Linked DNA regions of Ovis aries. The protein of the gene in region 1 interacts with the protein of each later gene in a pairwise test. Links are inferred from orthologs where the notes say so. Each region holds a gene or a part of one and is shown in the gene's direction. Other genes may lie near its edges. The genes, in order: NCKIPSD, STAC and PSMD9.

The links.
Region 2: the proteins of NCKIPSD (region 1) and STAC interact in binary tests that used the Homo sapiens proteins (3 or more experiments, as listed by UniProt). The link is inferred for Ovis aries from reciprocal best matches to the Homo sapiens genes NCKIPSD and STAC.
Region 3: the proteins of NCKIPSD (region 1) and PSMD9 interact in binary tests that used the Homo sapiens proteins (3 or more experiments, as listed by UniProt). The two-hybrid records come from large-scale screens. The link is inferred for Ovis aries from reciprocal best matches to the Homo sapiens genes NCKIPSD and PSMD9.

Annotation. Positions count from the first base shown.
Region 1 is NC_056072.1:51,240,153-51,244,285, forward strand, and holds the start of NCKIPSD (NCK-interacting protein with SH3 domain), read left to right. Parts: upstream 1-1,279; 5' UTR 1,280-1,376; coding exon 1,377-1,547; intron 1,548-4,080; coding exon 4,081-4,133. UniProt on the Homo sapiens protein: Has an important role in stress fiber formation induced by active diaphanous protein homolog 1 (DRF1). Induces microspike formation, in vivo. In vitro, stimulates N-WASP-induced ARP2/3 complex activation in the absence of CDC42.
Region 2 is NC_056072.1:10,158,967-10,163,004, forward strand, and holds the start of STAC (SH3 and cysteine-rich domain-containing protein), read left to right. Parts: upstream 1-1,216; 5' UTR 1,217-1,315; coding exon 1,316-1,426; intron 1,427-4,038. UniProt on the Homo sapiens protein: Promotes expression of the ion channel CACNA1H at the cell membrane, and thereby contributes to the regulation of channel activity.
Region 3 is NC_056070.1:53,464,558-53,468,566, reverse strand, and holds the start of PSMD9 (26S proteasome non-ATPase regulatory subunit 9), read left to right. Parts: upstream 1-1,185; 5' UTR 1,186-1,213; coding exon 1,214-1,351; intron 1,352-4,009. UniProt on the Homo sapiens protein: Acts as a chaperone during the assembly of the 26S proteasome, specifically of the base subcomplex of the PA700/19S regulatory complex (RC).

The DNA of each region.
Region 1 (4,133 bases):
CCCTGGAGCCCACTGCAGCCATGCCAGTGCCATCCTTCATATGGTTCCAGCCGGGCAGCCCCCAAGAGAGCTGTTTCTGCTCTGTTCTCAGAGGGTTTCAGGGAGAAGTGTGGCACGAGATCTCGAACTGCTGGCACAGGCATGAGGGAGAAGGACCCGGAACTAGTGCCAAGAAAGGAGGATCTGGATGTCCAGGTCTAGCAGCCCCACCTCTTGCTTGAACCTCTCAGCACCTTCTCTCCCAGGTCCTGTGCCTATATCCACTATATCCAAAATCACCCACCTGCATACACTGGCCGGGTTGTGCCTACCTGCTCCCTGGGTCCAGGCTTCCAGAGAAGAATGTGACTGGACCAGTCTCTGGACGGCGATGGGTGGTCCCCAGAACTCTGGGTTTATTGAAACCCAGGTACCCTTGGTTTTCCCTGCTGCTTCATAGGACTACAATGACCTCCCCAGGTCAGGGCTGACTGGAAGGTGGGCCAGACAGGCTCTTAACGCCACATGGTACCCCAATCCTCATCCACCAGCCCTTCTATCTGCTCTCAGAAGGAAGCATCAGAAATAAAGATAACGGATTTGTAAGTCTCCAAAGACCGCAGAAGAGAGTGATGTGGAAGTGACTGATAAGGGTGGGAGCCTGACCTTATGCTGTGAGGAGGGAAGTAGTGTCCCAGGCAGAAGAATGGATATGCAAGGACCCACGTTAGAGAGGAAGAGAGTAGTCAGTGGCAGAAGAGAAGCGACGGGGACTGAGGATGGGAGGACTATGGGCAGCGAAATGGCCTGACCTGGTTTTTGTTTCTGCAGCCCCCTCTCCACTCTTGCTCCCCGTTGCCCACCGCTGGCGCTTAAAGAAGTGAGCTCAGCACGCCTCGAGACACAAGAGACCCGGGGTTGCTGTCCTTAATTTAGTAGGTCAGGATCCACTTCCCTGGGGTGGCATAGATGCAAGAGGCTTATCAGCACAGGACACAGGCTCTGCCTTTGGGCTGCGGGCGAGCTCTCCTTTGTGAAGTAGGGTGGGCCGCAGTACTAGGGCTTGAGCCGGTAAAAGGAGTGGAGGGCCGGGCAGGAGCAGCTGGGGCTGGGGGCTCTAGGCGGGGTGCCGGGTCAGGGAGTCTGGAGCTTGGAGAAGACAGTCCTCGGAAAGGGCGGTGGACTCTCGAGAGCCGCGCCCCTCGGGGCCGCCAGGGGGCGCCGCGCTCCCGCGCAGGAGCCGACACTGCCGGGGCGGGACTGCGGCGGGCTGGCGGGCGCGCGCGCGCACGCGCCGTGTGTCACGGGGCAGGGCGAGCACGGCGAGGAGCTGCCGGCCTGGCGTCCTGGTTCTTCAGCCCCGCGCCGTCTCCCCTGCCCCGGCGCGACTCGGCCTCATGTACCGCGCGCTGTACGCGTTCCGCTCGGCGGAGCCCAATGCGCTGGCGTTCGCCGCGGGCGAGACCTTCCTGGTGCTGGAGCGCAGCAGCGCGCACTGGTGGTTGGCGGCGCGGGCGCGCAGCGGTGAGACCGGCTACGTGCCGCCCGCCTACCTGCGCCGCCTGCAGGTGAGTGTGCCCCTCCCCGGCCCGGCCTCCGCCGCCCCTAGACTGAGCTCCATCACCGGCCGGTCGGGACCTCCAGCAGATGAGGACTTTGAGAACCTGACCGAGAGACCCCGCGGGGACTGGGACCCTGAGAGCCCGCTCCCTCCACAGAGGACCAGGCCCTTGACAGCCAACTCTTGAGGACTCCAGACCTACCTAAAGCCTAACTCTGGGACCGAGGCCCCAGACCCCACATCTGAATCCCCAGCCGAATACAATTCAAGAGTCAGCCCCGAGATTCCAGTACACCAGATACTGAGCAGTTCCCCAGGTCACGGAAACCCCTGACTTAATTGGCCCCTCGCCTGGATCACCAGGATCCCAACACTCTTGCCTCCTCTTCCACAGCTTCCACCCCTGAGACCCCCGGCAACCCTGGGCACTTTCTGTTTCCCCAGCCATCTTCTACGTCTTCACCCTCCCATCCCACCCCCCCGCACTTGGACCAGGAAGCCGTGTACACCCCCATCCCCTAAGTGACCCCCCAAGCCCTGAGACCTCAATATCTTTTATTGTCCTGTACTTATTCAGCCCCTAAGCTCTTCCCAAAACACTTTCGTCAATCTACTTTGAGCCTGGGTTCCCAGCTCCTGCTGACACTCCCTGGCACTACAAGCCTCAGGCCCTGACTTTTCAGACTTCCTTTCTTGGAAAGTGAGGGAGCCTGAGCCTTCCTTGTCCCCAGCCTAGGGTGGGAGCTGCTCCCTTAGCAAGGAAGTGGGACTTCCCCACGGCTTCCCCTGGTGTGGCCATGGCTCCCCTGTTTCCTTCCACTGGAGGTACAGCCCCAGTTCCTGTTTCCCCCAGAATAGACCTGGTGTGGGGGTTGGGCTGCATTGTCTCCAGCTGGTCTATTCTGATCTCAGGGGGAAGGAGGGCCCAGAGCCTCCAGGCCTGCCCTGTGCCAGACACCCCCGCCCCATCCTAGTCTCTGGCTGAAGGAAGCATCCCAAGCCGGCCCAGTTCAGGACAGAAATAACAGGATAAATTTGGAGATGTCATCTGTGGCTTTTACCCGAGGGGATGGGCCCGGGGCCCTGGACCCTTGGCCTCGTGGCATCCAGGAGTGCCTGGGTGGGAGCGGAAGCCTCGGACACCAGGGCTGCTGGGTCTGGAATTGAGCATGTCAGAGCCAGTCTCTCTGGGGCTGGGGGCTTGTTGGAGGCCTCCAGGGAAAGTCCTCCACTTTCCCCCAGGGCCTGTGAGGCCCCTCGCCTGCCTTGGCTATTGGGGCTGGGTGTTTGGGGAGGGCAGAGAGGGTACCACCTTCTCTGTCTCTTGGTTTCTTGCTGCGTGTCTCCCTCCGTCTTGGTCTCCCTGGCTGTCTCTGTGTCATTCTGACTCTCCCCTTGTGTGTGTCCACATCCTCCAACTCTCTCCCCTTCTCTGTCTCCGAATCTCAATTTCTTTCTGCGCTGTCTCCCTCTGCTTCTCTCTTTTCCTCTCTCTCTCTCTCCCCCTCCCTCTCTCTCTCACCATCTTTCTTGCTTTCTGTGCATCGTCTGCCGGTCTTGCTCTGTCCCCTTTTCTGTCTGCTATCTCCTGCACTCTGACATGCCCCCTGTTACCTTTGGGGCTCTGCTGACCTCTGAGTCCATCTGTCTGTCCCTGTCCGAGAAGCCTCTCCAACCCACTCTGGTGTGATCTTATCTTAGTTCTGAGGCCCCTGTGCCTGATGGACCATGGGTGCCAAGGGCAAGGGAGGGGTGCGAGTGACTGGTCCCGCAGTTGGCAGCCCCCTACTCCCCCCACCCCATGCCAGCCAGGCTGGGTCAAGGGGACCCCTGAGCTGCGGTGGATGGCGACACAAACTCTGGGGCAGGGGCCAGGTTCCACGCTTATGTCTGTCTTCTGCCACAAACCCAGAACTGCTGTTCCCCAGCACAGCTCTGGAGGATTCCTTTCTCACAGCTAGAGGGGATGAGGGCTGGCAACACGGGTCCAAAGAGGAGGTCCCTTTGGCCTGTCCTCAGCTACCAGGGCCTGCAGAAGGCTCTCTGAGGATGGGGCTGTCCTGGAGTGTGGCCTTGGTTTTGTGACGGGTCAGAAAGATCCAGAGGGTTTTGTTCAGAGCTCCAGACCCTAGAGGCTCCCTGCTTGGCACCTCAGCCTGGGATCTGAGCCAAGCCTGGCGATAGAGTTAGTGTGCACTCCTGGCCTCAAACTAGGGGTCTGTGGGCTGTGTGTTTGCTTCAGAGCCCAGACTTTCAGAGATGACTTAGCCGAGAGCCTCACCATAGGTAAAATCGCGAGCGGGGGCCTGATATATAAAGCAGCAGCCTGGGCCCCTCCCTGTGGCCCAGCTTCCCAAGTGACGCAGTTTGAGAGCCCCGATTGATATCTAGTTCATCTTGCTGTGTTGGTCTCTAGTATTCCAGGCTTTGAGAGCAGCTGTGGCCCTCTGCCTGCGCCAGGCTCCCTCCAGGGCTGGCGCTGGCCTCCGTGCCCTCACCTGGCCCCCAGGGCTAAGAGCCCACTCCTGCCCCCCTCACAGGGCCTGGAGCAGGATGTCCTCCAAGCCATTGACCGGGCCATTGAGGCCGTGCA
Region 2 (4,038 bases), about 41 Mb from region 1:
GCCCTGGAGTACTGCCCCAAACTCCGACTTTTCAGCTGGTTTGGCTTCACTGTGCATTGGGCACATGAGCTTGCATTCAGTAAAACCATGAAGCTGGCCTTGCAAACATTTATAGTTAATAAATAAAATCTGAACATGAGTTTATAGTTGCCTGTTAGAAAATTAAGCAGTTTTGTATGGGGGCAGAGGATGGTTTAAATATCCAGATGTATTTCCTCCCCTGCACATCGAGGTTTTTCTTCAAAAGGTACCAGGTCCTTCTGCCCCTTTATTCCATGGGGCCATCTCTCTGTTTCCAAAAGATCTGCTAAGACACCCTGGTTTGCCCCTCCGCAAACAGCCCTGACATTCTTGCTATCTTGCAATACCCACTTACTCCACAGCTGAGAAGATTTGGCCTGGATTTGAGGCCCCACAGTCCAAAAAGCATGGATTTTGAAGCCAAAATGGGTTCAAATCCCAGCTCCACCATTTATAGTTCAGCCACTTAGAGCAGATTAGTTAGTCTCCTAGTTTTCTCATCTATGAATGAGAATGATATTAATAACACCTAGCCTAATAGGGTGGCTCTGAGGATTAAATATGTAAAAAGTGTGACCGGCTTAACACATAAACGCACAACCAAACTAGGGCACATCCACGTTTTGCAGTCTCTCTCTGCTTCAGTCCAAAGCTGAACCGAGGAAAGAGGAGCGCCCTCAGGCCAGGAAACCCCAGCTCTGCTTCCTCCGTCACTGAACCCTATAAATAACTTGGCTAAGTCACCGGATCCCGGCTCCCTGAGAGTCGCAGTTTCTCCGGGTGCAGAAGCAGGGAGTTGCTGCAGGTGGTCCCTCCCGCTGGATCACTCGGGCTTTGGTCTGAATTTTCCTTCTACCTCCTAAAGCATCCCGGGACCGTGCCGAGCACCCGAGCTCGCCCAGCCTGGTCGCAGGGCCTCCCTAGGGCGCGGCCCCCTGCTGTTCCCCGCGAGGGCCCGCGCAGCCCCGCCCCGGAGCCACCCACCCCCACCCACCCTTCTCCGGAGAGCGGGTCAGCCGGAGCCCACTCGCAAGCGGCCGAGCGGCAGTCACGACTGTGCGGTCGTCGCCGAGGTGGCCGCGGGCGCGCTCTCCCCCAGCCCGGGCGGGCGCCGGGAGGTGGGCAGGGCCGGGGCGGGGGCGAGGCCGGAGGAGGGCGCGGCGGCGCCTGGGCGAGGATGGGAGTCCCCGGCCTCAGAAGCTGAGCGAGCCTGCGCGCGGCGGGGAGGGCGCTCCGGAGGGAGGCGAGCCTCGCGGTTCCTCCGGGAGCCCAACACCGTTCCCGCGCCGCCACGATGATCCCCCCGAGCGGCGCCCGCGAGGACGGCGTGGACGGGCTGCCCAAGGAGACGGCGAGCGCCGAGCAGCCGCCCTCTCCTGCATCCACCGGCAGTCAGGAATCCAAGGTACCGCGCACGCTTGCCCCGAGAGGACACAAACTCACTCCTCTTCCTCTCTTGTCCACCTCTGTTTCCTCCCTACTGGCGCTGGCGCCGGAGGCTAAGACGCGTCCCTAGTTCTTCTCAAGGACTGTGCTCCCTTGAGATTTGAATGCCCGGCAGGACTCGCTGCTAGCGATGCTGGACCACGTCGCTGGGGATCCAGTCTTCTTGTCCGCACGGCCCCGGGGCTTTGCGCTGGGCTCCTGCCCTGCGAGCACCCGCAGTTCACAGTGGCTCCGGGTTCGGATCGCTTTCCTGGGTGGTGGTGGCGTGCTTGTTCTGTGCTTTGAACCTGCATGTGCCTAAAGCGCGTGTGGGTATTAGGCGGCTTCTGAAGGCTGAGGGACAGACAGCCCAGGACACTCCTCCAGAAAAGCCGGGGCATTTGCGAACCAGCAAAGGTTCGCCTGTATCCCAAGGGCCTGAGACCCTTAGGCTAACCGGACTCATCCCTAACCTCGGATACCGCTGATTTCAGAAAAATTAGGTAAATGCTACCTTCTCGGGAAAGTTGATGATCCTCTCGTGGAAGTTAGTCCTCGCACTTAAACTTGCTTTTGTGAGAGTTACACTGATACACACAAAGTCAACCCCGCGGCACTTCCGTCACTGTTACACTTACTCTGAAACGTTCACTGGTGCCAGGCGCATGTTTGGAAATCTTGGAAGAGGATCAAGTAAAATGCGGCTGCTAGCTGTGCGATGCCAAATGGCATCTCAGTCGGGAGTAAAAACCATAAGATGGAGTTCGTAGTTATATGGATTCCTTAAGCGCAGGGCTCCTGGCTCTTTTTCCAGACCTCCTTGTGGGTTCCCTGGGTGTCTTTGGAATGTGGGGCAGTTCTTGTGCAGGAATGAAGGAGAGGAGGATGCCAGTGTGGAGAGCAGGTCAGATGGGGCCAGGAAGAGTCTCGTCCTTTTCTGCCTTCACACCCATCCCTGGAAGCCATCAGCAAATCAGCAGGATCACAAGCATAGCTAAGTGACTCCCATCCTAAGTGATCCTGCCCTCTGGACAGTATCCCAGCCTCTGAAGGTTAACCATCAGAGATGCTAATCCAAGACAATGCCAAGATAATGCTTGGCATTATCTTTATTTTGGGGGCAAATGTCTGACCTGGAACATGTGTGTCAACTTTTCTAAAACTTAATTGTAAACAGGGGCAAAAACCCCACCTTCCAGAATCATTGAGAGGCAGAGAGAGATGACCTAACACCCACCCAGTACAGAGTAAGGACTCAATCCTATTCACTGTTTTCCTTCCTGAGATAAGGAGATGGGATCCATCTCACCACAGACAATTCACTCCAAATGGGTCTCACAACCCCCACACACGGACCACTGCCCCTGCAATCAGATGTTACTGGCTCTCTACCATTGTGTGCCATTGACGGTCCCTCACCTAGGTGATGCGGGGTAGTGGGCACTTCACAGGTGATCTAGAATCCTGGAAATGAATGTAACTAAACTCAAGACTGAAACTAATAATCAGCTTTTATAATTGGGCCTGTTGCTCTGCAGTAGGTATGTTCTGGAAGGGGCTTAGCATTTGATTTTATAGCAGCATGGTTCAAACACACTGTATGGGCTTGCTATTTATAGATACCCTAATGTAAATTCTTTGGCAAAGCAAAGACTACATATGTAATACCCATCATTATCCACCAATTTATCTGGCTTATGGTTTCAGGCTTGTGCGCGTCGGTTTTTCTCTATGTGTATTTATATATTCCTAAATGTGCTGTCATAGCTTAGGTGTTCTTAATCAGTGGAGACAGGCTATGGGGGGTTGTCCATGAACCCCAAGAAACTGAATGCAAGGTACTGTGCCTGAATGTGAAATTTTTTTGGCATAGTGTTTTTGATACTCTCCAAGGGGCCCCATGCTTCTCAAAAGGGCTAAACTGTTGATGTGGAGGCTGTGCGGTAGGGATCAGCAGGATGGCAAGAAACAGGAACAGAGGCAGGCTCTATTCATTCTGCACCAGGAGCACCACATTTGAAGGTTTATTGGCGTTTACAAGGATCTTCCATCTGACAACGAGTGTCTGGTAGGAGAACATGGACAGCTCGTCATCCCATACTACTCCCCTCTGAAGTGATCTGTTTGTCAAAATACCATGTGGGACAGGCATGGTTTAGCCCCCCTGGACAGTAACCTTTCTCAAGAAGGACTTTTGAAATTCATTTTTTCTTTTATTTTATTAAAGTCTGATTGACTTACGGTATTGTATTAGTTTCAAGTCTACAACACAGCGATTCCGTGTTGTTCTAGATTAATCAGCATACAAAATTAACTCAGTGTTACTGACTGTATTCCCTGTGCTATCCATCGCACCCTGTGACTTACTTATTTTATAACTAATAGCTTGTACCTCTTAATCCTCTTCGCCTCACTCACTCATTCACCTCACCTCCCTCCCCTCTGGCAACTACTGGTTTGTCCTCTGTATCTACGAGTCTATTTCTGTTTGGTTATATTTGCTCATCTGTTTTGATTATGAGATTTCACTATGCATTTTTAAAATAACTTTTTTTCTCTCCTGATAAGAGTAACAACTACTTTGTGGAAATT
Region 3 (4,009 bases), on another chromosome or scaffold:
TGTCTTTTTCAGTGCAAAATGTCAGTGGGAACATGTTAAGAGGTTGTGTCATCTTTTGGTTAAGCTGGGTTCAAATTGGGGCTGCTTATTTTGCTAGCTGGGCAAGTGAGTCATTGAGATGATTTTTCTCACCTGTCAAATGAGAGTAATAATAATCCTGGTTTATGAGTTTGTTGAATTTTTTAAAACAATTTATTTGGCTGCGCCGAGTTTCAAATCTTTGGAGCATGCGGGATCTTTTTTTAAGTTGCCACATGTAAACTCTTGGTTGAGGCATGTGGGATCTAGTTCCTTGACCAGGGATTGAACCCTGGCCCCCTGCATTGGAAGCCCACAGTCTTAGCCACTGGACCACCAGGGGAGTCCCAAATTTGTTGAATTAATACACATAGGGCCCTTAGAACAGTGCAATGCGTTGTATTTGATAAATTATTAGTATTGATATTATTGTTGTCATCAATACTATTTTTACTGATATTTATAGAGACCTTAATATGAGACACACTGAGTCCAGTGCCCACTTCTTTGCCCTTCCAGCACCTAGGACAGTGTATGACACAAAGGAGGCATTCAATAAATACTTGTTTGCATTTTGCAAACAGGTCAACACTATGTCATATGAATATCATATGTCATATGAATGTCAACACTATGAGATAGATTGCTATCAATAGCCAACCAACTCACGGATAAGGAAATGGAGGCTCAGTGAAGTGATTTATCTAGGCCACTACTGGCAGTAAGAGGCAAGAGCTGGGATTTCAACCCAAGCTTATAGGCTTTGTAAAACCAGGAATCTGAGTATTATGTAAACCCTCAAGGACTGTGTAGATGCAGAGCTGAAATGGAGCGCCACGCACAGTGCGCTGCCCCATGCATACAGGAGGCGCTCAATACATAGCTGAATGAATGAGAAAAGAAAGCGAGTCAACTAGAGAGAGTTCATCATGCCCTGGTCTGGGCCAGCGCTTGGGTGGGACTGGGAATCCATCCGTCCTCATACCTCCCGCCAAGAGTTACCACAGGACCACTTGTTCCAGCAGGGTGTGGTTTCTGGTGACCACGCCCCACAGACAAAACCACACCTTTTACTTTTCCGGGCTCCCGCGAACAGCCGAGGTGTTTTGGCCCGCGCGCGGAGCCGTAGCTACAGTTTCCTCGGGCGTCCGCGGCCGGGAAACCGGCAGTTCTAGGTCCCGGGTAGACGTGCACAATGTCGGAGAAGGCAGGGAGTCAGAGTGGGGGCTCCTCGGAGGCCAGTGGTGTAACTGTCAGCGACATTCAGGAACTGATACGGCGCAAGGAGGAGATCGAGGCCCAGATCAAAGCCAATTATGAAGTGCTGGAGAGCGTGAGTGTGGGAACTGGGCTCCCGGGCGGGCTGGGAGGCCCCGCAACGCATTCCTGACGCGGCCCCAGGCCGGGCAATGAGGCAAGTAACGTGAATAACTAGGAAGGATTCGAATCGATGTTCTAGCAAGCATTTATGGAGCCCTCACTGGGAGCTGTGTTAAACGCTTCACATTGGTTAACGCATTTAATCCTCCCAATAATCTTTTGAGGTGAGTTCTATTATTTCACCCATTTTAGGGATGGAGAAAGAGACATTACTTAAACCTGCCTGAAGTCGCAGTTCAGTTCAGTCGCTCAGTCGTGTCCGCCTCTTTCAGGGCTAATAAATTTGCAGAGGCAGGGTGATAATCATCTCTGGCATCGGTCGTACAGTTACCAGATGTCCTGTAACCACTTTACCTTAGAGCTTCTTAAACTTTAATGTGTACGCGAATCACCTGGCGATCTTATTAAAATTCAGATTCTGATGATGCACGGGTGTGTGGGAACAGCTACTGCATTTCTGCAAATTCCCAGCGATGCTGATGCCACTGGTGTAAGAACATAACAGGAAAGGTTTATTATCCTTACGGTATAAGGAGGAAACTGGGGCCAAGAGTGGGGCAAACCCTTGCCTAGGGTCCTGTACGTCGGAAGTGGCTGTGACGGGGTTAGTTCTCAGGCCTCTCTGGCTCCAAAACGGATACAGTTTTTCTTAAGCCACCTAGCGTAAAACCACAAATCAATTTGCCGAGGAAGAGTAAATGAATTACATTCTATACAGGGTGGATGAAGTGCAATGTAGGTGATGCTTATAAGATGAAGTATCATGTGGAGGCCAGGGTACCCTTTTACTGGGTGCTGACTGTGTGCCTGAATTGAGCTGGTTTATGTGTATGCTATATCCTGGAATCCTCTTAACTGCTCTATGAAGTTGGTATGTTACTCTGGGACTCAGAAAGGGGAAGTCACAAGATGAGATTTAGATCTTATGCCTAGGGAATCCAGAATCTGTGCTTTCAAGTGGTTTCTCACACCTGAGTTATTTTTCTACTGCAGACAGGATGCTGTGTCTGTATACCTCCTGTACTGTTACTCCCTTGTTATTTTCCTTTAAGTTAACCCATATTTTTTTACTTAATCTTATTTTTAAAGGAAATTTTGTAACTTCACAGCATATGAAAACATAAGAATCTCTTTCCTTAAATATGAACTAATGAAAGTGATCCCCCCCCAAAGGTGATCTATCCATGTATCTGTCACCTGATGAATGGATAATGAAATGTGGTCTGTCCATACAATGGGATATTACTTAAATAAAAAACAGTGAAGTGCTACATATGCTACAAAAGATCATGAACTTTGAAAGCTAAGTGAAAGAAATTCATCACAAAAGACCACACATTTTATGATTCCATTTATATGAAAGATCTAGAATAGGCAAATTCATGGACAGAAGGTAGATTCGTGGTTGCCAGGGGCTGAGGGGAGGGGGAGATGGAAGTGGCTGCTAGTGGGTCAGAGTTTCTTTTTGGATGGTGGTGAAAGTGTTTTTAAATTGATTGTGGTGATGATTTCATAATTCTATGAATATTCTAAAAACCACTGAATGGTACATTTATTTATTTGGCTGCACCACGCAGCATGATCTTAGTTACTTGACCAATGATGGAAACTGTGCTCCCTGCAGTGGAAGCACAGAATTCTTAACTACAATGGCACCCCACTCCAGTACTCTTGCCTGGAAAATCTCATGGACAGAGGAGCCTGGTAGGCTGCAGTCCATGGGGTCGCTAAGAGTCTGACACGACCGAGTGACTTCACTTTCACTTTTCACTTTCATGCATTGGAGAAGGAAATGGCAACCCACTCCAGTGTTCTTGCTTGGAGAATCCCAGGGACGGGGGAGCCTGATGGGCTGCTGTCTGTAGGGTCGCACAGAGTCGGACACAACTGAAGCGATTTAGCAGCAGCAGCAGACTGCCAGGGACATTCAGAATTATACACTTTAAATGGGTGGATTGCATAGTGTATGAATTATATCTGAATAAAGCTGTTTTTAAAAATGGAGAGGCCCAGATATAACAAGTGATCTGGAGATAATATGGAGACCAGCACGACTTTTTCTTTGACTACTGGAGGATTGATGATATTTGGAAAGGGAATAAGTATTTTAGATTCAGGGTTATTAAATGCCTTGTATATGAGTTGCCAGTGGCCCAGGTCCCAACGTTGGAAACCAGTCTCTGATGCAGTATTGCCTTACTGCAATCAGGAAGGCCAGTCAACTCTTAATCATTGTGAGCATACAGGAGGCAGATACAGATATTAGCCCCTGGCACATTTATACCGTATCTATAGAGAGTCCTGGGTTAAGGGAGTATACGAGACCCCCTTCCCCATGAACAGAAAACAGTAAGTGTAACCCACAGGCTTTCAGAAGGAAAGGGAGAGAAGTGAATGGAATCCCTCCCCTTGGAACCTGTGTATGCTCAGCAGTTAGTCTCTGTGCAGATCATTACAGCCCTCATTTATTACTTTCTGTGTGTATTAGTTTCCTGGGGTCACCGTAACAAATGATCACAAACTTGGTGGCTTAAAACAGCAGAAGTTTATCCTCTCTCAGTTGTGGAGACCAGCAGTGTGAAATCAAGGAGTTGGTAGGTTTGATTCCTTC